3 linked regions of the Caenorhabditis elegans genome follow. The protein of the gene in region 3 purifies or fractionates together with the protein of the main gene of each other region. This does not show direct contact. Each region holds a gene or a part of one and is shown on either strand. Other genes may lie near its edges. The genes, in order: T16G12.1, ccg-1 and phy-2.

Region 1 (8,170 bases), on a different chromosome or scaffold from region 3:
TATAGGGCGCCTTGGCCTTTCGAGGAATGTAGTCTCGGGTTCTACCTGGTGGAAGGTTGGCCGCGGCGTGATCTGATGATGAATCAGGAGTCGTCGTGTGAGGATCTCTGTATCCAAGTACATTGTCATGGAAGTCTGGATTAGGCATGTCGGAGTCGATGCCGTCAAATTCCAAAGCAAGAAGTCCAAGGGGGAAGTGGAGCATCTTGACGTTCATACGGGCTGATAGAGTACGTGATTTTGCGATGAGTAGCATTGTCTCGTATTGTTCGTTCGGGGTACTGCAGAACGCATCGAGCGGGAATGTTGGCCGTCGTGTGCGATCTTCGCAGGTGTGCTTTTCTGCGGCCACTTTTTTGTCTCCTGGTGAGTTGAGAGAGTCTGATAATCCTTGGAAAGTAGGATTTTTAAGTGAGATAAGCTGGCATACGGAGAGTAGGTAGCACTTTTCGTTTGCTTTGAACCTAGCGGTGCGAAGTTCGTTCGCGTGATTGGTTCTATGAACTTTCGCAATGGAAGGCCTCTTGAGGTTATTGGGGTCCTTCCAAGACTTGCCCGGAAACATTGAGCACCTGATTGGTATCATTCTGTTTACGATTTTTGATATATTTAAGAGAGAGTGTGTGAAGGCTATTTCTCTCTTGGGTTGGTGATCAATGTCCAAGATGGAATTATCTGTAGACAACGTATAGATGATGTCGCTAGAATCCCAGACGTAGCCCAAGAGTTTGATATTTCTGGACTCTGCTCTATCTTCGCGAAGAAGGTGAGCCATGATAGAGCTTATATTTGTAGCAAACTCGCTCAGGTTGACATCGCGCTGTGGGGCCTGCTACTTCTTGGCTTGAGCGCCTTGCAGCTGTTGTTGTTCCTAAAGAAATGAGGGTGGAATTTCATTAGGATGTTGGCTATATCTCACCTTGCGGCGCTGAGTGCCGGCCAGATTGTCGGTGACTCCGACTTCCAGGCGGTTTCCACAGAGCTTCACCTTGTCCTCTTCGGGCTCTCCATCCGACATAGTGGAAGCAGTCGGTTGTAGCGTGTCCTGATTGGATGCACAACTGGCAGATGCCCTGCAATTAAAAGCTCTGTTGGAGAGGATTTGTTTTACGCTGAAACCTCCCGAAGAAGAAATTAATTATTCCATGGGAAAATTTGAAGATGGATTCCCTGTGATCAGCGAATTTTTTGATTTTTGAAATCGCTGTGGGATTTTGAATTAAAATCTTACGTGGCTTTTGTATCCTGCATAAGGTTGGCCAGAAGTTTCGGGAAGTTTGACAACTCGTGTTGGGACCTTCGTGCTCCTTGGCTTGAAGGGTGACCATGAGCTGGAGCCTTGGATCCATGACGTTGATATCCTTGTGAAGGATGGACATGGCGCTCGTGAAGATCCTTATGAGCATTGCGGCCTTCGGACTGAGCAGAAGTTAAGTTCTGCAAAGGAGTTTTATTATTTTCAGGAAAAAAATTGGCGAGAGGTTCCCCTGCGACCAAGGTTTTCTTTTACGTTTTTGAGATACGATATTTGAAAAAATAAAATCCTTACATGGCTCTGTGATCCGAGAGAAGGGTGGCCATGGACGTCCGAGCCAGACGATGCTCTTTGGGAATCCATTCTGCGCTCGTGAGGTGAAGGCTCAGCGGTGGAATCCTGTAAAAGAAGTTAATTATTTCGGAAAAAAATAGGTCAGGGGTTCCCCTGCGACCAAGGTTTTTCTTTACGTTTTTGACAATAACGAAATAAATAATTAAGTTCTTACCAAGTCGGAGGAGCCGCTTGAAGGGTTGCCTGTTGGTTTGGACGGCTTGACAATGCCGAATGGGGGTCTTGAAGACATTTTCCGTCGAGCAAGTAGTTTTCTGAAAGAAAAAACGAATTAATTACGAGTCTCAGGAGGAGGAGACGTAAAAAATCGACGGAAAATGTTTAGATTTAATAAAAAATCATTAAAATGCAAAAAGAAATGCGAAAAATATTCGAAAATCGACGAAAATCATGACGAAAGATTTTGGGATTCGATTTCGAAATTGCGAGTGTGCGGTTGCGCGTCGCGGTGTACACAGAATCTGTGCATACACCGTTGCGTACCGTACTCCTCGAAGAATCTTAATTCCAACTGTTGAAGGTTTTGAGAGGTGATTCAGTGGATTTTGTGATGGAATCGTTGGAAAAAAGATAAATTTGCGGAGATATCGAGGGAAAATTGAATTTTCAGATCATTTTTATCGAAATTTTGTGCAAAAACGAAGATTTTGGAGGAAATCTCTGCTGAAAAGAGATAAATCGACGAGGATGGACCCGCCACGCGGTTTTCTTGAGAAAACAAGTCCTTTGAACACGAAAATGACGACAAAAATGCGATAAATCGCAATTTGACTTCAGCTAATCCTAGAAATTGCATCATCTGTCGACATAAAATTATCTAAACGCGGAAGGGAGGGCCGAGCAGAGACATTGAGCCTAGATTTCAGATTTTGACTGAATTTTTAGCACATTTTATGACGAAGCAAAGGGAATTGAGCTGAAAACGACGAAAAATGGGTAGTTTCATCGAGATTCTTCAGAGAAGGATGCTCCGGGGGGAGATTCTCTTCAGAATCGAGTTTACGCAAGATTACGCAAGATTTTTTGACCAATTTTAGCTATTTTAACGCGGAAAACTCGTGATTGAGAGCGATAAAAGGCTAATGATACCAGTTGCGAGTGTGATAATCGAATTGGAATCAAGATTACACGTAGAAAATCCAGATTCGTGTGTGAAAAAACGAAAATGAATTGGAGGACGACAAATATTCGAAATTCGAGCGGGAGAGTCGAAATTTTTTCGAAAATTGACAAATAAAACCAGATTTTGAGCATGATAGAGTCAAAATTTAGCTTTTTATGACTGTAAAGATCCATTTTCGAATGGGATAGTCGAAAATGAACCTAGAAAAGGCGATAATTGAAAGAAATCGACTTACCTCTGACCGCTGGAAGCCGCGCCACGTGCCTCCCTGACTCTGGATCCGTTTCCGGCTCGGAACTTAGTGATTCACGAGCCGGTTAGGTCGATGCACCAATGTTGACACCCGCAGTCGCTGGGGAGTCAGACCCAACGGGTGAGAACGGCGAAATGTGTGTTCGCGCGGAGGACACGGAGCTTGAACGAACGGCGGATGACGATGAGCGGTGCAGAGGGAATAACAGTACACTTTTAGATAAATCCAAGTTTATTATTGAATAAATAAATGGAATTATCAACGGGAACAAACGGATGACGTGGGGACGGGTGGCATCCGTGGTGAAACGTGTGAAGACTGAATGAGTTGGCCTAAAAAGGCATCTGAATATTTGTGTGGATTTACGGGAGTACGACGCTCCGCAATAACGCGAGTGTGCGGGGGGGGGGGGCGCACTTGCATTAGGAAATACGCAAATGGCGGTAATTCAAATAATAATATTTAATTAATTAAAGAATGGAATGTTTCTGAGTGAACGAATGGAACAGAGAGTGAGCGACTCATGCGGATGGTGATTGTGGGTTCGTGGGTGAACCTGACCAAGCGCCTATATCCGCAAAGTTGGGACGGACGGGCTCTGCGGAGCCCAAGTGACAACATTTATGGGGTTTTTGAACTACTATAAAATATCTTTTAAAAAAATGCCCACTGATATTTTTCCATCATTCACTAAATTTTTAACATGAAGTAATTATAAAAAATTGATGACTTAGCACTTGAACCAGTCATCAGTGAGACTAAAAGTCATTACTATCTTTTGATTACTAGAAACTCTGGAAGGAGAACCAAAAAATCACATCATAAACCATAAATTGGATTTAAATCGGTTTTGCGGTATTTGCGAACATTTGTTTTTAAAAACTGTAATCTTCATTAAATGCTCTAGAGATTCTCCAGCATCACTACCGATTCCCCAATTAGCGGACTCTGTCCCGAACTGACATTTTGGGAATTAGTATTAAAAGTGTGTCAAAAGTGATAAAATTGATAATTAGGTTTGTCATCTCGTTGTGATGTCACATCCCAGAAACCGATAAGGAAAGTACAGTGGCTGCTGCGTGCTCCGGAATAGGGAGAGCAAACTCAAAATTTCAAAGATAAAATCGCGAGAGGATTGTATAATCTACTCTTTTCATTTCGTGTGCTGCCGACTACGAAATGCGGCGGAAACTGCTTCTCTTACTTTGTTTTATTGGGCTCTTTAGCTTGATCTCCACTGCTCCTGCACCGAATAATGTTGGTTTGGAATCTGAATTCACAGGTTTGTCTACTTTTTAATAATGACGCTAGACTGCACATTCCCCCATAATTTGAAAAATTGATACTATATGTGCTTACAAAAAGTTAAACTAGGTGCGAATTTCCCTTGTGAATTTTGAATTTCTATGTGAAGCTGAGAATGTCCCACTCAACAAGCTACTTGATCTCCAAAATTGAAAGTAATCTAACGTGAAAATGTGAGAATTTTGGCATTTTTTATTGCCACTATGGCTCACTGAGCCGTTAAAGCTAAGCTTGTTACAAAATAGACTAGAAGGAACAATATAGTAATTTCTCATTTCAGAGGGACATGCTGAAACTATAAATTTGGAAGAAGTCGAATTCAATCATCCATCAATCTTGCCGGAACACCCAGATAATTTTAGACAGGATAAACTTGCAGCCAGGTTATTTCTTTTTTAGTTCAAAATCAAAATATTTAAAATCAAGTTCTTAAATTTACAGTATTTTAATTTTGGTGAAAAGTGCAAAAATTATTGAACATATAATTACACTACTCTTTGCCTCATTTGAGTTTGGAATCGTAATTTTTTTACTACGACGTAAAATGGTTTTGGCAAAAAAAGTTGTTATAGAACAAAAATCACTCGAAACATTGTTTTCAAATGTTCAATTTTATTGCAAAAATTGATAAGAAAAGTTTCGTAAAGATGCCGTATCTTGCATGTGACAGCTATCAACTATTCTGAAATTTTTATTCTAGAACTCATTGTGCTCTGAAAACATAATCATTACAAAAAATAATGAAAAATGAATTTCCAGAAAACGCCAAAGCCTTTATGTAACAAAAACACGTCTCCCACCAAATCTGTATGCCATTGACTATAGTCTATGGTTCCAACCATACTTCCCAAGCCCTGGAGTTCAATATGCACCAGGTACTAAACTTTTTATTACTTTTTCGAATGATGCAAGTTAACATCAGTATTACAGAGAAAAACTTCACATTCGACGGAAGAGCATCGATACAAGTGGAAGCATTGGTCGCATCGGACAGATTCATTCTGAATGCCTATAACTTTAAAATTCAAAGCTACAAAGTGGTTGATATCGATGGAACTGTAGTGCCAATCAACTCAATTTGTAAGGAATTGAACGTATATTGATAAAAAATACAAGAAAAGATTTATAGCACAAGATGACACTACGCAACAGTTATCACTGATTACAAATGCAAATGGTGTGGTCGCTGGTCAAATTTACAACATCGAATTTGTCTACACCGGTATTATCAATCCATACACGGATGGAGGGGTTTACTACACTTCATATAATGATCCACAAGGAAATACACAGTAAGGGGAAACAATGTAGAAAAGTGGTGGCGAAATTCTGTAACTTTGTGCAAGTAAACTCTCCAGAAAACATACAATTTATTGTTAGATTAAGAGTATATCGGTTAAGGGAGCGACCTCTGCTTTTTAAAAACTCGAAATTGGAAAATAAAATTCTAATTAAGAGTACCGTACTTTGACAGATTGATTATTATGTAGTCGATTTGCCGAAATTTTTGAAGCTCTTTTTTTATCGCTCATCACTTGTTAAATGTTTTGGGCAACATAATTGTCGAATTGCCAAGGTAGGCATAAAACAACATTTTTGGGGCCTGCCACCTACGTGTCTATAAAAAACACTGAGCCCAGCCAGTGCTGATATACTTCAAGAAACGATAGCTGAAGTCAATATTTTCACACTGATTTCTTGATTCGACTCAACCTCTTTTTAGCTACATGATTGCTACACATATGGAACCGTTCTCCGCTAGAAAAGTCTTCCCATCTCTTGACGAACCATCTTACAAAGCGGTAAGTGTTACAGAATAATCTTAGACAAAACAACTAAAATTAATGAAAAATTATTCTGTGACACTTTCAGAAATTCACAATCACTGTGCAATACCCAGCTTCCCAAGTTGCTCTTTCAAATATGATGGAAACAGAACCTACAAAAATTGAGTATGATTATCAAACAATTATTTTTAAAGACTTTATTTAAATTTTTTGCAGTAATATATGGAGCACAATTACATTCCCACAAACACCAAAAATGTCTTCATATCTCATTGCATTTGCAGTGGGGCCTTATGTGAATTCTCAATATGTCAATAAGCATAACACTTTGACAAGAGCATGGGGATGGCCTGGAACTGAACAATATCTTCAGTTCGCTGCTCAAAATGCTGGAGAATGCTTGTACCAATTAGGAGAGTATACTGGAATTAAATTCCCACTCTCAAAGGCTGACCAACTCGGAATGCCTGAATTCTTGGCAGGTGCTATGGAGAACTGGGGATTGATAATCTACAAATACCAATATATTGCGTATAATCCAACGGTATTTCTATTGAAAAAATGTAGAAAATGAAATGGAAAAATGGGATTTTAGACAATGACGACGAGAAATATGGAAGCAGCTGCTAAAGTTATGTGTCATGAATTGGCTCATCAATGGTTTGGAGATCTTGTGACAACTGCGTGGTGGGATGATTTGTTCTTGAATGAAGGATTCGCTGATTATTTTATGACTTTTATACAAAAATCTGTCTACCCACAGCAAGCAACTTATTTGGTAAGTTTTTGGGATTCAATCCTAGATTCAGTTTCATTTTAGACTGTTGGCTCATATTTGACACCAACAAGATTTTACATTAATTTTTCAAAATAAATTTTAAAACTGACAGAGAAATCTGCTTATCGTAAATCTCCACAAGCGTATATCTAAAATTAGAAAAATTTTAAATAACTTTTACAAATTGATAATCTGTTCCTCTTCAAATGCAAAGTTTATTCGATTTCAGGACACTCTTCAAGTGCTTGACGAGCTTCAAGTTGGGCTCACCGCAGACGTCCGATATGATGCTCATCCATTAGTTTATCCGGATGGACCTGCATTCGATGATATCACATACAACAAGGGAGCTTCAATGCTTCGAATGCTTTCAGATGTTCTAGGAGCTGATGTTTTCAAACAAGGAATTCGAGCATATTTACAAAAGATGCAATACTCAAATGCAAATGATTTTGACTTGTTCTCCACCTTAACTGATGTAAGTGTTTTTAACTAATTGGAGTAATTAAGTAAGCCCTATTTTTTCAGACCGCAAAATCAAATAATATATTGGATTGGTGTGGTCTTCCATTGAATGTGACAGATTTCATGCAACCATACATACATCAAACCAATCATCCACTTATTCGATACAATAACAATCAGAAAATCGGAGGATCAACTTTCAGCCAAGAACCGTTCTTGGATATTTCCGATTTGACTGCAACTCCATGGAATTACACTTGGTCAATTCCATTAACATCTGCCAATTTAAGACATGCGGATCCTTATAAACAGTGGCTTCCAAGACAACAAGGATGTGCAAATATGAATGAAAATATTCAAGAGGAACGTATCAAAGAGCCCAATAAGAGAGCTGTTCAATGGGAGCTCACTTCGATCACTTCAGCCACTTATGGAAGGTTAGTTTTATTCTAAAAGTTGAGCATTGTCTTGTGGGAAGGTTTAAAACTATTCATTTGGTGTTGAAATAACCAAATATTGCAGTAAAACATCCTTTAAAAAATTGAAACTTCTGCATTCATAGTCAAAAGTGGCTATTATTCATTTTTTACCTAACATATATTTCGACGTTACCAGCATTTTTTCCAAGAGTTTAATATTTTAATTGCATTTGAATTGTTCATAGTGTTAATGGCTTAAGATTATAGGAGTTTGAACTTGCAGCAATTTTCGAAATTATTTTAAAAAAACAAAATTTGTTTTTTTTTAATTGGCAATGTGCCAAAAATTTGGCTGAAATCAGTTTTAACAAATAATTATCAACGAATGACCACTTCAGAATCATCTACGACGACATCGGTTTTGATCGAAT
Region 2 (11,356 bases), 3.1 Mb from region 3:
AGTGTGGTGAGTGCGATTTTGAAAAGTACATCCGATTGCAATCAAAGTGAGATTAATGGGGTGCTGGCTTGAACTCAAAAAACTGTTTGTTGAGTCTGTTAAAACTTGAATATTTTAAGTTGATATTTGATCTGCTTATTCGGAATGCAGTAGAGCTCAAATATAGGAAAAATGTTTTACCATCATGGTGAAACAATTTTTTTCAATTTAATTATTGAAAATTTTAATCTTTGTAAATTGTTTTCTTATACTTTTCTCAAATCTTTTCATTTTTTGCAATAAAAAAGTGGAACCAAATGTGCCTGTTTTAAGAGAATGTTACGTAAACGTATGGAAAAAGTTTGGGATGTTGCATTAAAAATTTACAATGTATAAAAATAAATGTGTCTCAATTCTGTATATCTATTTAAGTTAGTAACTGTAACTTTGAACACAGAATAAATGAACATTGTGAAACTGGAAAAAAATACAGAAACTTTTTAAAGCAATTGAAAATTTTTTTAAAACGTTTCAATAAACCATCAAGGCATGTTTAAAACTCATTTACCGATTCAAATAAATTTTTTTTGTTTCTAAAAATTGAAATAGTGACGATCAAGTAGACAGAAACAAATATTTTTTTCTAACCCCTTTGTTTCAAAAACTTAAATATATAGGTTTTTTAACTTTTTTCTACAGAAACAAAGTAAATAATAACAGAAAAGTTATCTAAAAATGAAATCTAAACATATCTAAAAAATGGGAAATTATTGCAAATAGTTCGAATTTCTTCTATTTGAAAACTACTTGAAACATTATGGAGATATTTCATAAAATTGATTTAAAAAATAAACCAAATATTGCACTGTTTTCACATTTTTAAAAATGAAACTTTAGTATTTCCATTTTAAAGACACTTTTTTTTGAAACTAAAACTTCATTATAATTGCAGCAATTGACATAGATTTTTCCTTGAATTTTTTAGAAAGTTTATTTCAGATAATTCAAAATGTATTTCAGATTCTTAATTTGAATTTTAAGATAATACAAAATTTTATTCACTGTTTCATCAATCTCACTTAATACAGGACAACCTTGTAATCAACTGAAACGTTACAACGTATAAAAAAACAAAATATTTACAGTTTCAATACATTGTGATATATGAATTTTTGAATGTCGTTCATTTACTTTTGATCAATGTCCAAAAGAATCTACCTTTTGGTTTTGAGGATTATTTTTCAGAAGATTTGCAGTCAAATACTTGTTCATTAGGTCCATTGATTTCTCCAAACTTCATTAGGAAATTGAAAGCATTTTTTTTATAAAATTAACAAAAAGTTCAAGTCCAAATCTTTCACACTCTCCTTTAAATTTTCTAAATTTCGATTTTTAATTAACAATACTACCGGTAATACTAGATGAGTGTTTTAGAACTTTTTAAAAATTTAAGCAAAATTTTTCAATAGAAACTTGTTTCAGGAAGTTTTTAAAACATTTTTAGTTTAGTTTAGTTTAGTTTAGTCAGTGGTGAGTCACGGTTTGTATTGAAAATTGTTTTGAACCAAAAATTAAATCAACAGAATTCAAATTCAATTCAATTCAACAGAAACATATTGCGAATTTGTACGGTATTAGTCGTGGGAAAAGAACGAATAATTCAGCAACTTGAACTTTGCCACAACTCAAATTTAGAAAAAAAAATACCGTTTCAAATTAATGTTTTAGAATGTGAAGTATCAAGTCTTTGTTTTGACGTTTCTGAGTAAAAGTTTTATAAAACATTTCATTAGAAAAAATTCATTCAGAATTCAAAAGTTCAGAACAACATCAGAAAAAAAAACAAAAGAAAAATAAAAATGAACCACGCTTTTGAATATGTATATGTTGTAGAAAGAGGAAACTAAAATTAATTTTTTTGTATTTTTCTGGGGTTTTTTTATTTATTTTTGGCGTTTTCATATCATTTTTCACACAATAAAAACACTTTTTACAGTTTCAAAACCTCGATATTAAAATTTAATTAATTTTTTTTCAAATTTTGTTGATATTATTAATAGTACATATATTTTTCAATTTTATTGTAGCCTTCAGTAGGAACTTGTTTCATATACTTTTTAAATACGTTTTCGATTGAAAATGAAAATAATTCATTCTTCAAATGTCTTTAAACAGATTTCCAAAATTATACTCTTTTTTCGGAGGTGGAAAAAGGGGAAGCTTGAGCATCGTCGCAATTTTAATTTAAAAAATTACCATTCCAATATTATGTGTTTCATGCAGTTTTTAATAACATCCTTTCTATTTTCAAAAAATTCCAAAAATTGAACTTTTCCACAATTCCAATGAAAAAATAGTACTGTTTCAAACTTTTGATTTACAACTTCAAGTTGCAATTTTAATAATCGTCAGCTTCTATAAATAAAAAATTGAATCGAGAATTTCTGCATAAACATGTTTTTTACAGTTTTTAATTACCGTATTTCCTGTTTTAATAAAAGACTAATAAAGGAAAAACGGTCTAATTGTAAGTAGAATGAAAAAAGTCACAAGTTTTTCGTTAAATTTAATTTTTGAATATAAATTTTAATTTGATTTCAAAGCTATATTCTAAATGATGTAGAGTAAGAAAAATAAAGTTAAAATCACTGTTTCACAAAATGTTCAAAATAAAAACTTTCAACAAATTTCCATTGGTTGGTTTCTCTTCTTTTACTTTTTAGCATTTTCAAAGTACTTTCAGCGGTTTCAATATATTGTTATAAAATGTGAAATAACGTTATTTTTAATACTAACATATTAAATGTCATAAGTCTAAATGAGTTTGTTAGCTGAAATTTTGATTAAAACTTCAATATAAAAATGTTTCCAGTAGTTTTTAAATATACGTAGGACAAAAAAAAAGAAATTTTTGAAAATAAAGAAAATCTGGCTTCTTTGGTACTTTTCGTCTAAAAAAACTTTCAACACATTTCCATTAGTTGTTTTCTCTTCACTTTCACTTTTTAGCATTTTCAAAGTACCTTCAGCGGTTTCAAAATATTGATATAAAATGTGAAATAAAGCTATTTTTTAATATGGTTTTTTTTTAATAAGTTTTTTTTCATAAGTCTAAATAAGTCTGTTATTTTTGAAAAAAAAGGATAAAAAAGAAACATGGATTTTTGGGTATTTTTCATTTGAAATCAATAATTTAAACTTTATAAAATATTTTGAACAATTAGATCATATGATTAGAAAATTTTAGAAAATCCGAGGATTTATATGCTTAAAATATTAATTTAAATGGCATTTCAAAACTATATTCTAGGAAATTTTAAGTAAGAAAAAATTAAATTAAAATTACCGTTTCACAAAATTTTCTAAACAAAAACTTTCAACACATTTCCATTGGTTGGTTTCTCTTCGCTTTTACTTTTTAGCATTCTCAAAATACCTTCAGCGGTTTTTCAACACACTTTCATTTTTTCGTCAGTATTTTTTATTCTGTAAATTTGACCTCTGGCTGATAACTGATATGTTATTACTTTCCCCTATGACTCACCCAGTGACACATTGTATCATGTGGCAGAATCTCAAATTTCACAACAAAATGATTCAATTCGTTTACAAAAAAAAATCCCAAACACTTTCTCGACCTCTTCCGGATATCAAAATAACAAAAACCTTTTCCTTTCCAACTCCGCCCTTTTTTTGAGAGGGATAATAGGAGTTATGGAGGGCGGAGAGACAAAGAGAAAACCCCGAAAGAAAAGTGTATAAAACGTCTGAGCGACGGCGGCTGGTCGCTCTTAGTTGTCAACAAAACAAATCTTGACAGCCAAGCGAAAATGATGAGGAGTTCGTTTTTTGTTCTTCTTGCTTTGATTGCCCTTTCTCAGGTTAGTCTGTTTCGAGTTCTTTGTAAAAAATAAGTGATTTTTATCCTAAATTGATATCATTTTCATACTTTGTTTTATATTTTTTCGGCTTATTTAGTGAATTTTGATCCAAGTTAGGCCACGGCGCACGCGGTGCGGTTGCGTCGCGGTCGATACGCAATATATCATCAGTATCAGTATAGAGCAGCCCAAACATTTTGAAATTTTTTGGCAAAAATCATGACGCTTCAGGCAACTAATTTTACACTAATTTTTGTTTGACACTGCAAGAATATATCTAAATTTTTTCAAAATAAGAACGTATCGCTATGACACTAAAGTCGCAAAACATCTAAAAATAAATCATGTTGTTGAAACTGCACCTAATGTTTTTTTTGGATTTTTGCGTATGTAAATAGTTTTCGAAGAAACAAAAGTCATCAGATACTGCAAATTAAAAAAAAAGAACTTTAAACAGTCGCCGATTTATTTTCCAAAATTGATTATCGAATTACACAAAAATTAGCGTCTAATCCAATGACACTAAAGTTGCAAAAAATCAAAAAAAAAATCATATAGTTGAAACTGTAATCTGATTTTTTTTGAACCACCAATTGTTTAATTTAGAATTCACAACTTTTTACAAATTCACAAAACTATGCTGTACCTTTTTTGGGATTCTGTTTTTTTAATATTTTACTATTTTTGAACAAGCAAAAGTCATCAGATACTGCAAATTAATAAAAATGAACTTGAAACATTCTTTGATTTTTTTTTCCAAAATTAACTATCGAATTACACAAAAATTGGAAAGTTTCGGCTGTGTTGCCGCTCTCGAAATGCAACTCAATTGCTCCGTATCACTCAAAACTAAACTACCTTTCTCGAACTAAAACGGTCTAATGTAATGACACTAAAGTTGCAAAACATCAAAAAAATAAATCATATAGTTGAAACTGTAACCAAATTTTTTTTGAAACACCAATTGTTATATTTAGAATTCAAAACTTTACACAAATTCCAAAAACTAGGCTTTGCATTTTTTGGGTACCGATTTCGGTTTTTTTCTTGGATTTTGCAAGTTTAAGCGTACGAGCAAAAGTCACCAAACACTGTAAATTAAAAAATGAACTTGAAACCTTCGCTAATTTTTTTTTTCAAAAATTTCTATACAAGCTATCAGCTAGATTATCGAATTGCAAAAAGTTTGAAAGTTGCGGTCAATACGCGATGCGACCGCTCCGCTTCACTCAAAACTAAACTACCTCTAACTTCATTCAATTTCACTCGATTTCTCCAGAATTTTTGGAACAAATTCAAAAATGCTCGAGCTCAAAAAAAACAACAATTTTCCCCCAAACTTTCACGTATCCCCTGGGCCTCCTGGTGCTCATAAATTTCAGCGCGTAGTGTAATCAACAGACAACGACACAAAATCTCATCTTCTTCCCCCTCACCTAGATACTTCTTTTCAGTATATCATTTATCACTCTGTGTTATCAAAAAAAGAAAGAGAGAAAAAAAGAGACAGTTGCTGTTATTTCTTTCATTTTTCCCCGCTCGATTGTCGTCATTTCAATTTGATGTAGTGATCAATACGGAAGGAACACGGGAGTTTGAACAAAAGATTAGAGAAGGGGAAGTGTTGAGCAAAGTTTTAATAGTGTATTTGACTAAAAATGATATTGAAAGCCTCACTTTTTCAAATATTCAGAAAAATGCATAACACGAAACAGATCGAATTTTAAAAAAGTTTGATTTTACAAATTGTGTGCCGCATTTTTCTCAGATATTTTATAAGAGTTAAATTTCTTTTATTATTACTGATTTCTCTGACCTTAGTTTTTTGTTAAATAAAATCAATTTAAATAACATTAACTTAATTTTTCATGAGTTAAACATCACGATTGTCTCCGATTATATTGTAACAACTTATTAGACATTTTGAAACGGGAAAAATTGTGGCACATTGAAAGAAATTTTAGCTTTCTTTTTTTTTTCTAATGTCTCTATATAAAGAAAATTTTGAATAGGTAATTCATTGTGTTTTTCAAACAGTTCCAACTTTTTGAGACGTCTAGTTAGACTGACCGATTAATGCGTTGTCAAATTAATTAATTTTGAAAAAATTAAGAATCACCATCTCAACATAACTCTCAAAACTGTACTACGTAAATGCATTATATGAAAGTGCAAACAATTTTTTCAAAAATTCAAATTAATTTCAGACCAAATCAACTTTTCTCTTATTTTACAAAACCCAACAACTCATTAATATTTCAAGAGACAAAATATTTTAAGGTAACTTTTATGAGTAGAGTGATTTTTTTAAACAAGAAGTAGTATCAGAGACGTCTGCAAATAATTTCTGAACTAAACTTTTAAAATTTCTTTACATTTTTTTATTTCAAATTTTTTACAGTTTCAATTAGTGCATATCATTTGGGTTGCCTTTATTTTTATAATAACTGACGATACGGCAATATCTGGGAAAATTTTTAATGGAACAATTGAAACCTGCACAGCTGTACCGCTTAAATGTAATATATGAAACAGTTCCCGAATTTCAAAAACGGTTTTTTTTGTTGGAAAATGTGTTGACTGTTCCTTTTCTTTGTTAGTAGCAGCTTGAATTTTCAACTTATAATGGTCGTGGATATGTCGGAACAGTTTTCCAATTTTTGAATATTTTATACAGTTTTATTTTCGAACATAAATTTCAATAGTTCCAATTTTCCACAGTTTCTTATTCCTTATTTATATGTCACTCAAATTATTTTCAGCGTTAATCGGAATTAATCGGAAAATTTTGGGGGAAAAAAACCAAAGCACATAAAAAATCAGCTTCCTACTTTATGTTGCAATGTGAAAAGGTTTCAAATTTTTTTACAGTTTCAATAAGTGTATATAATACGAGTATCCCTTATTTTCATAGTAATCTAGACATAGTCTTTTCCAAAAATCCAAATTTTCGTAAGACGAATAATTCGATAACACAGTACGAAAAGTTTTTTTTTTCTAAATCTAAGATTCCTAGTTTTGAACACGGAAATTTTTTTGAAATATCTCTCATTTTTGAAGAAAAAAGTTGTTGTCAAGGCTATATCTGCAAAACTTTTAAATAGAAAATTTAAAAAAAGATACCGTTTCAACAATTCTATATCAATCAACCTGCTTGCTTCTTACTAATTTAATTAGTATTCTTCAAGGCCATAGTTCGTCGTGATGCCTCCGGTCCAACACTTGTGCTCCGTGACAACTGTAAGATCATTCCAGCCGGTGGATGCTCCTGTGACGTCAAGGAGGGAAACGATGAGGTTGTGATCCGTGAATATGACAGTGTTGATCAATGTAAGAAGTCTGTGGAAATGGCCACAGCTGAGAACAAGAAGGATTTGAACGAAGAAATCAAACAAAAATACGGAGATTTCAAGGAAAACTGTTTCCCAAAACCATCGGGTGGATGCAAGTGCAACGTGGATCTTGGACATGGTGAGGAGGTGGCCGAGTACTCCGCAGACGCTGATTGCAAGAAATCCATTGAATCAGTGACAGCTGAGCACAAGAAAGAGCTCAACGAGGAGATTAAGGAGAAATTCGGAGCATTCAAGGAAAACTGCTTCCCAAAGCCTTCCGGTGGATGCAAGTGCAATGAGAAAGACGCCAATGGAAATGAAGTTGTGACTGCCTACAATAACCCAGATCAATGCAAAGTTCGTGGAAAGAGAGATGTCGGAGCAACAGTTCAACGTCAACCAGCCAATATTGCCAGAGCTAATGTGAAAGATGTGAAGCAGGCTCAGCCAAATTATGACGTCAGAGATCCAGTGAGGTTAGTTGTTGCAACTAAAAAGTCAGCAGCATCGATACAAGAAATTACTTAAAACTATTTACAAACTATTGGAAACAGTATTTTTTCTCGAATGCATGTTCAACAAACTCCAGGATTTTGAAAAATTTGAAATAAAAACCCTGTTTCAGATAATTTGTACGAGTTTCTGAACAATTTATTTTTTCGATGCCACAGTCGGTTATTTTATCCAATTTGAAAACTTGAAATTAAGAAAAAATTAATGAGCTCAGAATTAGTTTTTTCTGGATTTTCTTCCAATTTTCAGCTGGCTCTTTTTAGCTAGAAATTGAAGTCAAAATATTGTTTCAGCAAATATTGTCTCGTTAACTTCCGAAAAAATAATGTTTTTTTTTCAATTTTTAAAATTAGAAATCTATATTTATAGATGGTGTTACCAAAAATACATTTTTGTACACAAAGAGCAAAATCATTTGGCCAATTTATATGTGTACACGACACAAATAACCAGAGTTCAAGGTGTGTTGAACCAGTCTAGTCAAATAAAGAATTGGAAAAAAATTAATGGTGTTTTTTTAACGTTTGGAATTTTTTGAATTGAACATGCAGTTATTATCACTAATTAATCTAGAATGAAAATAATTAAAAAAGATTTGAAACAGTAAATTGTTTTTTTTCAACTATTTTAAACGGATGTTCTAGTGCACTGCATTTCATTTCCTCTATGTTTTCAACTTGAATCGAAAATTCCTATAGACATAAATCCAGTTATTTTGAAAATTTGAATATTTTTGAAGCAGTGAAATTCGAGAAAACAATTTTCGCACTAAAATTTTTTCACAGTTTCAAATTTTAAACATTTTATAATCAGTATTTCCTCAATGTTAAGAAACTACAGTCAAAAATTTCCGAAAATTTGAATAAATCCCACAATCTAAACCCAAAAAATGTTTATCGTAAAATTATCACTATTTCACATAAGTTTCTATTCTAAATATTTTTTATAAAATTTTCTAAATCAATATTACACAATGTCAAAAATCTGAATTCAAAACTCGAACTTCGATGCTTAAAAAATACTCACGGTTTCAAATTTTAGTAACAAATTAGCGCTTTTTCTAATTTTTTTAAAAAATTGAATTATCGATGAAAAACTAAGATAATATGTTTTGTACCAAATTATATTTTAAATTAAATGTTCAAAATTGCAGTCACTATTTCTGACTCTTTAACAAAAAATATAAAACAGTGGAAATTTTTTGAAAAAGTAAAAGTTCTGGGTAATGCTTTCAAAAAGTTCGCAAAGCCCGTAAACTTTAAAAAATGGTAAAATTTTTTAAATTTTCTAATTTCTCTCGTGTTCAGTTTCATCTGTCTTAGAAGTTATCAAAATTAATCAAAAACTATTACAGAGAGCGCGCCCAAGCCAACTACGCCGCAGTCGTCGATGAGCTAAAGAACAAGTTCAAGGGGCTTAAGGAAGGATGTTTCCCAAGACCAAAAGGATGTCTCTGTGTTATTGGAAAAACTCCAGAAGGACGTGATATTACTGAGAGAAGAATGAAGGATGTTGACTGCAAGTGCAAGGAAGGAGAACGTGGACCTGAGTGCCCAGCTAACTAATTTTTTTTTTGGAACTTTTCAATTAAAAACAAACATTTAATGTTGATACTCTTGCCCAATATATATACATTCTAAAAACATTTATTTTTTGGGTTTTTTTGTGTAATAATTTGGACCAAATAAATTTTGCACTGAATGAATTAATTGTTCAGCATCAAACCCACTTGCAGTGTCTTTACAGTACCCTACCGTAGTCGATTTGGGAGACACAGATACCTCGAACAGATATTTATTATATAAAAGCTAGGGCTATTTATTTATATAAAAGCTAGGGCGGCGACTGTCGCCTGCTTTTCGCCTCAATCCGCGCCTCATGTAAATTCACGCCAAAATTAAAGTGAGGAGGCAGGTGTCAGGCAGGCGTCAGGCAGGCGTCAGGCCTTGAAACCACGCCTGCCTTCCATAGAAGCCCTATGAAATCCTAGTTTCAGTTCGTGTATTGTATATTATTTGGCCAAAAAAAATTTGCGATTTGATAAGATACAATTTTTGAATAAACTTTTTTCAACAATCATCTGTTTCAGATAGTTTATAAAACTTATAGCAAACAGCATTACTCAATTCTCAGAATTCCAGATGTGTTGAACAATTGTATTTATATTGTGAGTAGTATTTTCAATTTCGAGTCAGCATATAATTTTTATGAAACAGTATTTCTGGTTTTATTACCAGAATGGTTTTGTTGCACACGTTTTTGTATTTTGACAAAAGAACTTGTGTATTTCTATTCCTTTTAATTTTTTTTCTCTAATGAAGGGGTATTGTCTGCGGCCGACATCTACCGGGATTTGCGACAAAACAGAACAGAAAAAATTGAAATGTGCATGAAAATTGCATTATTTTGTTGCTATGCCATATAGAAAAAATTTGTTAGTCCGGTAATCAAATTACACTTATTTTTTTATTAAAAAATTAAAGAGTACTTTAAAAGTACTAAAATTAAAAAGGAGCCGTACTTATATCAAACTTTAATTTTAACTCGCGTATAGCTTAACTGTCTCAAACAATATTTTTGTTGGATTGTTGGTTGTTTTTTTTCATTTGTTAAGCCTTGAAATATTTTTTAGATTATTTTTTAGAAATTATCACCTCTATAGTGTAACAACTAATTTTAAAAATAACTTAAAACAGGAGAAAGTATTTTTAAAACTTTAAGCAAAAAATGTTTAGCCTTTTTATTTTTTCTAATGTTTCAAAGTGTTAATTTGATAGATAACACAAGTTTTTTTTACTAAAATTTTTTTAAACAATCATGAAATATTTATTTGAACAAACTTCGCAAAAAAAATCAAAAATTTTTTGGCAATTCTAGAGATGAAATAATGAACAATTAATTCCAAAAAAAAACCCAGAAAAAAAATTAAATTTTAAAAAAACGGGGAAAATAATCATAGAAATGAAAATCAAAATGTGATGGACGGGATATGAGAAATCACAAAAAAAGAAACAATGATTTTGAAATTAACATTTAAAAATTAATAAACCGGTATTCAGTCTTCACTGTCCAATGAAATAAACGCAGCATTATCATTTTCCCGATGATCTCTTAATGTTGTTCTCGAGTTATTTGGAGCTGATCGACGCCCTTTTGAGAATATTACACGATCCTGTAGCTGAAAAAATTATTCTAATTAAAATCCATTATTTTTTGAAAAAAGTTGAATTTTAAACTATAATCTTGAAACAAGACAGAAAATGTTTAGAAATTTTTTTTTTAATTTCAGTTTCATCAAATCAAGTTATAATTTTGAAAACATTTAAAAGTAATCAATATGTTGTTGTCTGTGAGTTTCCATATAAATTGCCAGGAAAAGGCAATTTGTGTCGATTTACAGAGACTCTTCAGCTGACTACTCAGATAATAATTGAACTAAAAAATATTTGTTTTTTTTTCAATTTTGTATTGTTTCATTGAACCAACAACTTAAACTTGATGAAAGTTTGAAACATTCATAATAAGAGTAAAATGAGTTAGTGAAGCGTCCGACATCTCACAGGACTTTCCTACCCCTATTTAAATGCACAAACCTCATCATCATCCTCATCCTCATCCAATCCACAAGTCTCAACAGCAGGTAATTCT
Region 3 (10,407 bases):
TTACCTATAAAACCAGAAGCAAACACCTGAAATTCCGAGAAAAGTGATAAGTAACAAAAATATATGAACACTTCGTTTGTTTCGTCGATCGATCATCATGTTTGGAGTAGTGGAAAAAGGGAAACCAGGATGAGAAAAATCAGGAAAATTGAATGAATTTCGGGATGAGTGAGAACATTTGGGGAGAAAAGAAACAAAAGCAGGTAAGAAGGAGATGTAATCTCAATTTGACACACTAGGGAAGGTACTACGTGGATTTTTGTTTTGTTAATTTTTAATTCTAGGCTTTAAAATTAAGTGAGTTGAAAACTATCTCATTTTCAAATTTCTTATTGAGTTCGAGTCTTTATTTTTTTAAGTTGCGAATAAAAGTTTTCAAAATAAATAAATAATTTTTCGACAGCACTTATTTTCGGGACTGTGAAATCATTTAATTTTTGCTCACAATCAGAGGAAGGCACAAAAATATTAGTTTTTCTCAAGACCTTTGCCTGCCTCGCGCCTACAAGCTTGCCTAAATCTTCTGGCAAGCACAAAGGCGTTACGATGTACCTGAAAACTTCACACTTATTCGGTTGTGCTGCCTTCCTTTTTTATTACTTTCTGTCTATAGTTTTCATCTTTATTTTACCTACATCTACTTCCTCTTGGCACTTCCCTTTTTCTGTCCTCTCCTCAATTTCTCATGTTTCACAACGAAACAAAATTCATTAGATTTGGATGCCTTTCTGCCCATCAAGCGAGAAAGAAAACCTGTTTAGCTGACCAGTTCCGTTTTTTTTAGATTTCTTTTGCCAATTCTATCATATCAATATGCTGATGAAGGAAATTGAAAAAGTAATTCAAATCTCTCCTGTTTTGGAAAATGGTTGGTACTTTAGCTGCCTACCTGAAAGGTTAAGATTGGGCTAGGCGCGTAGGTATAGGCTGCCTCATTGGCAGGCAGTACCAACTACGTAGGTTTGCCTAAGTCTAGATCTAAATCATTTTGAAGACTATTAAATGTTAGACTTCTTCCTATTTATTTTGTTCGCCCTGTTTTCAACGATGGAAAAATGAATTTCCAATATTTTTAATTTCAGAAACCGTATCAGTTGTAAAACAATTAATAGTTTTCTTCCGGTAATACCGGTCTCTGTCTCCTTTTCCAAATATCCTTTCATCCATCACATCCTCAGAAAGTTTTTCAATCCGCTTCTCCTCCTCCCAGTTGCCTAGTGCTTCTGGTCTTTCTCTTTCACCATCTGGCACCCGCTGATCGAGTGGTGGCGTCTCCTCATCCTCTTTCTTATTCACAAACATTACTACCAAACTGCAGCATCACAGTCACGTAGGCATCGGAATATGCACGTCGACTGCGCATCTGACACGTAGAAGTTGGAAATAAAGGAGGAAGAGAGAGACTGTGCGACAGGGTGTAAACCGTCTCGGCTTCTTCTCACGTCTGCGCCCCCATCTTATATAAAGATCTACACACTTCAGCGGCTTCGCGCCTTTTCAGCTTCCGTTTTTGGTTTTTCAGTCCGAAAAGTTGCCTTTTTTTAAGTCAAAAAGTGGCAAATCGCCAGTTATTCCTATATATATTTTCAGAAGATATCCAAAAATGTTTATTCAACAAATTTCTAACTATTCTTACACAGCTTTTATTGCATTCAAATGTCACAGTGATTTGAAAATGCAACATTTCTTCAATATTTCCAAATGTGTCGAAATTTTTATTTTAGAAATTTGGAAGTTTTCAATTGACTCATTTAATATTAGGTTAGGAAGTGTACCAAACCAAAACTTTGACTGAAACCTTTCAAAAATCGTAGAGGTGATTCAGAAAAGTTTTTAATTGTTTTATTGTGATTTTCGGTGATGTTGGACCATTACAAGTAAATTTATGCTTTTGCTAGCACACTGAAATTGTCAGGAAATTTACCGAAATTCATTTAACATTTATTTAATTTTTTCAAGACCTGAATTATCGTTTTGGAAGTGGAGCAACAAACTCCGTCTAAATCAAGATTAACTTTTGTTTTAATCAATTTAATAAATTTAATAAATAGCAAAGATCTATGAAAATATATCAAAGCTTTAGACTATAGTCTATAGCTGAAAACGCTGAAAATCAAGTTTTATCTGATTCTTTTTTTTTTCAAATTCTATGATTATTAAAGAATTTCATCATAATTTTTCTACTTTTAGCTTTTTATCTGACTTTGCAATACATGTATTGGTTAAGAAAACTCAAAACTTTGAATTCCCCCTAATTAATTTAATTAAATTGAAAACTAATTAATACCCAATTTCCTCATCAATCTCCAATTATCCTCACCTTCCCATTTTCATTCTTTTCATTTCCACGTCATCCATAAATCTTGCGCGATTCAACCTAGTTATTGGTATTGTTAATGGAGGTCAATCATCCACTGGATCGAGAAGACACCGTCCGTTCCTACGTGCAAAATCTAATTGAGAGATCGGAAACGCAGGCAATCAGGAAGTTTCTTCTTCTTCGAGAATCGCGCGACGCGGCGAAAAGACTTCCACATCACCTTAGACGGTCTGATTGCTTTTCTCTGTTTTTTTTAGCGAATCCGCTATTAATCTTGACATATATTCCAAAGTTTGAAGGTTTTATATTCTTTAGGAATGTGTACATTCTGTATTTTTAGTTAAAATCAAACTTGAAAATGTAAAAATTAAAAATCGAATGTCAGTGTATCATTTAACTTTTTTAGTCCAGGTTTTGAAATTTATAGTTCTAAAAATTCTAAGAAACCTCATTTTATCTGAAATCATCATGCTGTAAACAAGGGTTATCAATCTGTCTTGCTGTTGAAAATAATATTATTTATTCGCATTTTATCTAGTATATTTTTACCATTTTCTATTCTCTATTAACCATATTTACAGAATTTTAATAAGGCATAACCAAGTGAAATGTTTCCAAAAATCAGATGACCATACAGTTTTGGAACACTATGAACCTAAAAATTGAATAATTTTTTTAAAGTTTTGTATAAAAAGCTTGAAACGCATTTTGAACACATACATTTTCCACAAAAAAATACTGAGTTCATCTATATCTCTGTAGTGGTAATCTATAAAAGATTGAGATCTAAGGTGACCTCAGATATCCTTTTATATTTATTTGGTCTTTGAGGCACTAATCAAAACTGGAAGAGATAGTTTTTTGCGGTTTCATCTAGATTTATTCCTTCATATTTTAGAACTCTTGGAATTAAATTATTCTGAAAAAAAAAACCATTTTTTGAAGCTCCAGAGATAAGGAAAAAAGGATCACACAATAAATCACGTAGGCCTTTATGTAGGTACATACTTGTCTACCTGCCTACAAGGCGACGGACGTGCCTACTGGCAAAATGGGAATGAACTTTTCCCATATAGACAGGCGGTGTCTGGCCTAACTCTATCCTGCCTCCAGACAAGGTTGACAGGTGAATGCTAAACTCTATTATTCTTTGTCTATTCTTCTTTTTCATAAATATATTCATATAAATGTGTCACACAATGCAACTTTTGTTTATAAACTTCAACATCCGTTCCACGTACACCTCCCTCTTCATCATCATCCCCCCTCAAATTGTAAAAATATACAAAAAGTGCTGGTGCAGACGGCTGCTCTCTACACTTCTCATCTGCTGTGTTCATCTTTTTCTCGTAGTCTCTCACTCTCTCGCCACCGATTTTGACCTCGAACATGTCAGTTGTGCACTGATTTTGACCCCCTATTTCTCACGTTCTACAGCTTTTCAAATTTCGGAAACAAATCGATTTGTCTTTCAGAATGAGAGCAGTTTTGCTAGTCTGCCTTTTGGCAGGACTTGCTCATGCAGATTTGTTCACTGCAATTGCTGATTTGCAGGTGAGTAGTTAATCTATGATTATGTAATTAAGTTAGAGATTTCAGCATATGCTGGGAGCAGAGAAGGATGTAACAACAATCATCGACCAATATATCGAAGCAGAGAGAGCCAGGCTGGATGACTTGAGGAGGTGAGTACTGTAGAACTGCAAAATTGAGTAGGTTCCAGGGATAGAATGCCGTTTAGTAACCGAATTGTAGATTATAACAAAATTTCCAATTCTCAGAATCTAGAATTAAAATTTTCTGATTTTCATGTGTTGGGAGAAAATAAAGTTATGTTTCTTCAACAGATGAAAACATTTGCTACAGTAAAAATTAGTTTTTTGCTGATTGTTGAGTTTTTGATTCAAAATTGATTGAACTCCATATTTATCAAATGTCCCCTCTGGTAGGTTCGAAATATAGGTTTTTTTTTAAATTTTTGATAAAAAGTCTTCCACGTGGGCACATCTTACGCCTGTCTATTGCCTACACGATTACCGATTGACAAAGTACACAAAATCTATTGAACTTTTAACAAGTTATTTTTGATTAGACAGTCCGCAAGGGCCACCAAAACGCCACAAAAAATTCTTAAATTTCTAAATTGTACACACACCAAGAATAAAAATGTTCGCCAATACCAAGAAATACGTGATATCATGAAAGTCTCACTTTAACAAAAACTAAACATTTTCGGACATCAAGGTGACTCAAATAAACAAATCATTTTACAGATACGCTCACGAATACGTGCACCGAAACGCTCACGCCGAATCAGTTGGTCCAGAATTTGTGACGAACCCAATCAATGCTTATCTTCTCATCAAAAGATTAACAACCGAATGGAAGAAAGTCGAAAATATAATGTTGAATAACAAAGCTTCAACTTTCCTCAAGAACATCACTGATAACCGAGTTCGTAGTGAGGTCAAATTCCCAGGAGAAGAGGATTTGAGTGGAGCAGCAACTGCTCTTCTGAGACTCCAGGATACTTACAGTCTTGATACTCTTGATTTGTCAAATGGTATTATTGGAGGAGAAAAGGTTTCTAATAAGCTTTCTGGACATGATACTTTTGAAGTTGGAAGATCTGCATATAACCAGAAGGATTATTATCATTGCTTGATGTGGATGCAGGTTGCGTTGGTTAAGGTAAGCCTGGTTTAGAAAATACGGCTTTCAAGCCGAACCTAAAACCAAAAAATATGAGCACTTAAACGCGTAGGCAGGCACGCAGGAAGCGAAAAGCATTTTCAACTCCATTTATTCGTATAAAAAGTAAGTTTTTTGCTGCTTGAGATTTGTAATTATGCACCACTACGAGAACTATCATATTAACGGTGGTTTCTTTGTACTTACTCAATTTTTTGATTGATGATCTATCGTACCTTAAGCTGGACTTTTTCCATAGCAAAATTCCAACAACAAATCCTAATCAAACATTTTCCAGATCGAAAACGAGAACCCACCAACAATTGAGGAATGGGAAATTCTCGAGTATCTTGCATATTCTCTTTACCAACAAGGAAATGTTCGTCGTGCACTTTCTCTCACCAAACGACTCGCAAAAATTGCTCCAAATCACCCGAGAGCCAAAGGAAATGTGAAATGGTATGAGGACATGCTTCAAGGAAAGGATATGGTTGGAGATTTGCCACCAATTGTTAACAAGGTTTTTTGCTTAGTATTTTATAATTTAAATTTTTGTTTGCAGAGAGTTGAGTACGATGGAATTGTTGAGAGAGATGCATATGAAGCTTTGTGTCGGGGAGAGATTCCACCAGTTGAGCCAAAATGGAAGAACAAGCTGAGATGTTATCTGAAGAGAGACAAGCCATTCCTGAAGCTTGCTCCAATCAAGGTCGAGATTCTTAGATTCGATCCATTGGCTGTTCTTTTCAAGAATGTCATTCATGATTCTGAAATCGAGGTTATCAAGGAGTTGGCTTCTCCAAAGGTGCGAAAATTAGATTATTCGATAGTTAAGTTAGAAATAAAGTACGGTGAATGGGGATTTTGTTTTAAAATACAAAAAGAAACTGAAATTCCAAAATACCACCAAAATATGGCAAAAATCGAGAAATTGCTAGATTTCAAATGTGACTAATATTTTCATTCGAATTCCAAACATCATCCAAAATGAGAACCCCCTTGAAAAATAATGTTGTTCAAATATCGATTTTTGTGTGGTATTTCTGAAATTCTGACTATTTTGGGTATTTTAGTACAATCTTCCCACTCACGCAACTATACCTTTCAGTACAATACTGAAACTAGAAATTGTATAATTTTAAGCTAGAACGTGCTACAGTAAAGGATTCTGATGGTAGCCTGGTTACTGTAGACTATCGAATTGCCAAGAGGTGAAAGGTATTAAACGTTTAACTGTACAGTAACATGCTGTGAACTTAGAAAATTAGATATTTGACTTACTGATTTCTTTTTCAACTTCTATTCTTTCTCCTTTGTTGCCTGAAGTGTGTTATTTTTTAGCTGAAGCGAGCAACTGTCCAAAATTCGAAAACTGGCGAGCTGGAACATGCCACGTACCGTATCTCAAAAAGGTTTGTGCTTAAGTTTTTTGGAACGGTTTTGTTTGATTTATTTTGAGTTGAAAGATTAACTAAATCAAGTTGATTATCAAATTTCTTGAATCAAAAATGTTTCAGTGCTTGGTTGAAGGGAGATTTGGATCCAGTTATTGATAGAGTCAACAGAAGAATTGAAGATTTCACCAATTTGAACCAGGCTACTTCAGAGGAGCTTCAGGTAAGCAAGAGCCCTGCAACATGGCTAAGGCCTTTAAGAAGGCACATAAATGCCTGCGTACCTGCCTCATGCCTTTATGATAGGCGTTAGATAGGCAGGCAGGCAGGTACGTGCTTGCCGACTTTGTGTTGAAACGGAAATGCGCACTATAGTTATATATTTTCCTTGTGAAATCCTCTCGGGCAATGAATTTACATTATTTTTTCGAAAGTTGCCAGTTTCTCGTAATTTTGAGAAAATGTAAAATGGGGATTAAATTATTTCATAGACTTTCTTGATAAACTTTTAATTTTCAAAGACAAAACTCGAAGAATTCTTGAAATTCTAAAAATCGAAAAATCGTTTAAAATTTCCATTTTTAGATATTTTCGTTTTTTTACAAAAAATTGAAAATTCCTTGTGTCCATTTTTGAGTTTTCTAGGCTAGTCACATCAGCAAAAAGGTCTAAAATGCCTTCAATGCCTACAGCCTAGAATATAGGCATTAGAGGATTCCCCAAGTTTTACTAAAAATATTAATTAAAGTTTATAATATTTTCAACAAAATTGTTGCTGTTTCAGGTAGCTAACTACGGTCTTGGAGGTCACTACGACCCACATTTCGACTTTGCCCGGGTAATAACAATTTTCAATTCTTTTTTATAATTTCAGATTGCAAATTACGGTCTCGGTGGTCACTATGAACCACATTACGACATGTCACTGGTTGGTTTACTGCCTTCCTGCTGACTTGTCTTGCTGCTAATTTTCAGAGAAAAACTGCCGAATCGTACGGTGGAAATGGTAATCGTATTGCCACTGTGTTATTCTATGTGAGTTTTCGATTCAATTTTAATTTTCCGTATTTTATAGAAAGAAGAGAAGAATGCATTCAAGACGCTCAATACTGGAAACCGAATTGCGACTGTTTTATTCTATGTGAGACATGTTTCATTTATAATTAATGGTTAATAAGATTCCATCACGAACTTTTTATTTGCATGAAAATTCTTTAGCTGTTATTGCATGAGGTGTGCTAATCCAAAAGTATGTGATGGAATCTTAACGTTTGAACTTTTAAATTTGTGATTTTAGCGCGTGGGAGCTGTGAGAAAACGGAAAATTTTTAAGGGGTCTTAAAATTTTACTGTTGATATTTAAAAATGAGGTTTTATAGTTTTTTGGCTCTATCGAACAATTTTTATTATTTAATCTAATAATTATCTTCTTTTTATGATTGTTTAGCTGAAACTGATGTATTTTCTAATGCCTACTTCTGGAAATTCGATAAATTCGAAACTGAAAATAACAATATCAAAATTTACTTTAAACTCAAAGAGCAAAAATCGTTCAAAATATAGTCAAACATTCACTCTCAAGATTTTGATTTTTTTGAAATTTTCAAACTTATTGGGTTCATAATTTTTACAAATAAATAGATGAAAAAATAGTAATATTTGAAAAGTTTACAAACTGATGTTTATATCCTTTTGGTACTGACCTAAATTACGAGAAAAGTGTGTGTGACGTCACATTTTACAGACGCGAAAACCCGACAGTTACTGTAGATCAAACACATTGTCAGATAACTAGAACGAACCCTCTGTTTCTCCTTGAACCAAACAATTTTTTTCAGATGAGTCAACCAGAACGCGGAGGAGCAACCGTCTTCAATCATCTTGGAACTGCTGTATTCCCATCGAAAAATGATGCTCTCTTCTGGTATAATCTTAGAGTAAGTGTTCATTTCTATTTTTCCTCGCAATTTGGAAATATTTCAGAGAGATGGAGAAGGAGATCTTCGTACCCGTCATGCTGCTTGTCCAGTTCTTCTAGGAGTTAAATGGGTCTCAAATAAATGGATTCACGAGAAAGGACAAGAATTCACAAGACCATGTGGATTGGAGGAGGAAGTTCAGGAGAACTTTATTGGAGATTTGTCCCCATATGCCAATGATCCATAGATTTGATTTTTTACTCTCTTTTTTGTTTTTTTTTTTAATTTCATTGTTGCTTACTGGTGTTTCACGGTTCCAATATTTTATTTGATCGCCAAAAAATGAAAGTGTTCTGGTTTTAAAGAATGAGTTTTTGATATTCTGAAATCTAAATTCAAAGCTGTTTATGCCTGCTTCATGCCTGCCTACATCAAACCTACATCAAACCAAGATTATAGTCATGTCTACTTCATGACTATAATCTTGCCTATCTATGTTCCTACCTATTCAAAATATAGTCCAACATTTAAAAATCCTGTGAAAAAATCACGGTTGTGGCTTGGATTAAAAATGATTCGATTCAAATCAGCATAAATATCTCCCTACGTGCCTGCCTGCCAACAACTCTAACAAACATGTAATTGTACCTGATACATACAGTTTTTCCTTGCCATACTTTATTAAGTTAATCAAAAATTATTTCAAAATTATATGGACAAATTAAATATTATTAACTTTAAAAAGACTTTTAATTTTATTATTTTCCTTATTTTCTTCTTCACTTCCTTGCAACGCACTCTTTAAGTCATTCTGGAAATTTGTTTTGTTGAACTCGATCTCGAATTTAAGCAGTTCAATCATTTCGTTTTTCTGAAATTATAGTTTTAAAATTTAATTCCATGTAAGAAATCCGAACCTCTTTAATAATCTTTCTGGCTTGTACCAAATCATCAACCAACTCATTTGCATCTTCCTCCGCAAATTCCAATGATTCCAGTTTTTGGCTCAATTCCTTTATCACCTCGTTTCGCTCTTTCAGTTTTCTCTGAAGTCCACCAATTTTTGCCACAAAATCTCTTTGATGCATTCGAATTTTGATTAAATGATTGCTGATTTTACTTCTCTCTATTTTCATCTCCTTCTGGTGCTCTTTAATCATTTCCTCACTAGACTCGCACATTAATTTTAGTTGGTAATGAGCCTGCAAACGTTGTATATAAAAAAGAATGTCAAGATGCCTGCCTACATGCCTGCCTACCACCTAGCTCTATACATTTTGGCATGCATTCAGGAATTTAGTGAACCTCTAGAAAGTAAAACTGGGAAAATTTCCAAAGAAAATTTAGTTAATTTTCACCAAATTTTCGAAAGTTTTTTTTTTTAAAGTCAAACATTTTCCAATAAAATATTTCGCATTTTTTTCAAAAAAAACACATTTTCCCAAAAAAAATTCGATCCGTTCTACTGTCTATTTTAAAATTTAATAAATCTTCTCAGCTTTAAACACCTCTTAATTTTTTATGAGGGGCTCCAATAAATAGCTTGAGGGGAACACGATTATTGGAATTTACTTTTGAAATTGAGAAATTTTCAGACTCTCGAGAATTTCATTGATAATGCTAATAAAATATTCAAAAATATAAAAAAAAACAACAAAATTTACCTTTGCCTTTTCCTCAACTATTTGCAACATTAACAGAGCTACAGTAACCGCGTACAGTAACCCGAATAGAATCGGGAAATTATCCATTGAAAGTGTCATATTCCCGTCTTGAAAGATATTAGTTAACCACGACATTATAAAATAAAAAGATTGTCTTATAAGATAAGTAACAAACGAATGAATGAGCCGGTCGTCTTAGTCAACGGGTCAAGTGTTTCAGCCGCGTTCGTGAATCAATAAGAGCTGGAATTGCCTCCTGGCATTAGTGACTGTAGTCCACACTTTCTACTGCCTAAATTATCCATACAGGGCAATGTGATCAATTGATCAATAGGTTATTAAATATAACTATTTTATGCAGTGCAGTGTTTCATCCTTTTGGGAAAATTCACGGAATCAACAGGTGAATTTATGTTTTT

What was found.
Region 1: the proteins of phy-2 (region 3) and T16G12.1 fractionate together in Caenorhabditis elegans (co-fractionation; one large-scale study listed by BioGRID). This does not show direct contact.
Region 2: the proteins of phy-2 (region 3) and ccg-1 fractionate together in Caenorhabditis elegans (co-fractionation; one large-scale study listed by BioGRID). This does not show direct contact.

The regions. Positions count from the first base shown.
Region 1 is NC_003281.10:10,045,738-10,053,907, reverse strand, and holds the start of T16G12.1 (Putative aminopeptidase-2), read left to right. Parts: upstream 1-4,050; 5' UTR 4,051-4,164; coding exon 4,165-4,267; intron 4,268-4,570; coding exon 4,571-4,673; intron 4,674-5,049; coding exon 5,050-5,165; intron 5,166-5,220; coding exon 5,221-5,370; intron 5,371-5,419; coding exon 5,420-5,582; intron 5,583-6,013; coding exon 6,014-6,092; exon of another isoform or gene 6,093-6,162; coding exon 6,163-6,242; intron 6,243-6,293; coding exon 6,294-6,621; intron 6,622-6,672; coding exon 6,673-6,855; intron 6,856-7,084; coding exon 7,085-7,333; intron 7,334-7,383; coding exon 7,384-7,757; intron 7,758-8,137; coding exon 8,138-8,170. Other genes in the region: T16G12.3 (Nuclear receptor corepressor 2), read right to left, coding at 833-871, 920-1,073, 1,232-1,437, 1,550-1,654, 1,764-1,841. UniProt on the Caenorhabditis elegans protein: Putative aminopeptidase which plays a role in oocyte maturation.
Region 2 is NC_003282.8:15,268,215-15,279,570, reverse strand, and holds ccg-1 (Conserved Cysteine/Glycine domain protein), read left to right. Parts: upstream 1-3,766; 5' UTR 3,767-3,809; coding exon 3,810-3,860; intron 3,861-3,914; exon of another isoform or gene 3,915-3,935; intron 3,936-4,150; exon of another isoform or gene 4,151-4,174; intron 4,175-4,248; exon of another isoform or gene 4,249-4,269; intron 4,270-4,361; exon of another isoform or gene 4,362-4,382; intron 4,383-4,531; exon of another isoform or gene 4,532-4,552; intron 4,553-4,731; exon of another isoform or gene 4,732-4,752; intron 4,753-4,913; exon of another isoform or gene 4,914-4,934; intron 4,935-5,509; exon of another isoform or gene 5,510-5,530; intron 5,531-5,725; exon of another isoform or gene 5,726-5,746; intron 5,747-5,965; exon of another isoform or gene 5,966-5,986; intron 5,987-6,301; exon of another isoform or gene 6,302-6,325; intron 6,326-6,327; exon of another isoform or gene 6,328-6,349; intron 6,350-6,486; exon of another isoform or gene 6,487-6,507; intron 6,508-6,625; exon of another isoform or gene 6,626-6,646; intron 6,647-6,774; exon of another isoform or gene 6,775-6,795; intron 6,796-7,028; exon of another isoform or gene 7,029-7,048; coding exon 7,049-7,671; intron 7,672-7,678; exon of another isoform or gene 7,679-7,706; intron 7,707-7,858; exon of another isoform or gene 7,859-7,879; and 11 more. Other genes in the region: Y73F8A.5 (uncharacterized protein), read right to left, coding at 10,764-10,886, 11,302-11,356.
Region 3 is NC_003282.8:12,209,376-12,219,782, reverse strand, and holds phy-2 (Prolyl 4-hydroxylase subunit alpha-2), read left to right. Parts: upstream 1-3,795; 5' UTR 3,796-3,796; coding exon 3,797-3,874; intron 3,875-3,919; coding exon 3,920-4,005; intron 4,006-4,593; coding exon 4,594-5,011; intron 5,012-5,309; coding exon 5,310-5,531; intron 5,532-5,573; coding exon 5,574-5,816; intron 5,817-6,102; exon of another isoform or gene 6,103-6,123; intron 6,124-6,352; coding exon 6,353-6,423; intron 6,424-6,528; coding exon 6,529-6,628; intron 6,629-7,189; coding exon 7,190-7,243; intron 7,244-7,480; coding exon 7,481-7,546; intron 7,547-8,243; coding exon 8,244-8,342; intron 8,343-8,388; coding exon 8,389-8,571; 3' UTR 8,572-8,686; downstream 8,687-10,407. Other genes in the region: F35G2.5 (Conjugative transposon protein TraM), read right to left, coding at 5-99; F35G2.3 (uncharacterized protein), read right to left, coding at 9,046-9,195, 9,242-9,526, 9,989-10,075. UniProt on the Caenorhabditis elegans protein: Catalyzes the post-translational formation of 4-hydroxyproline in -Xaa-Pro-Gly- sequences in collagens and other proteins.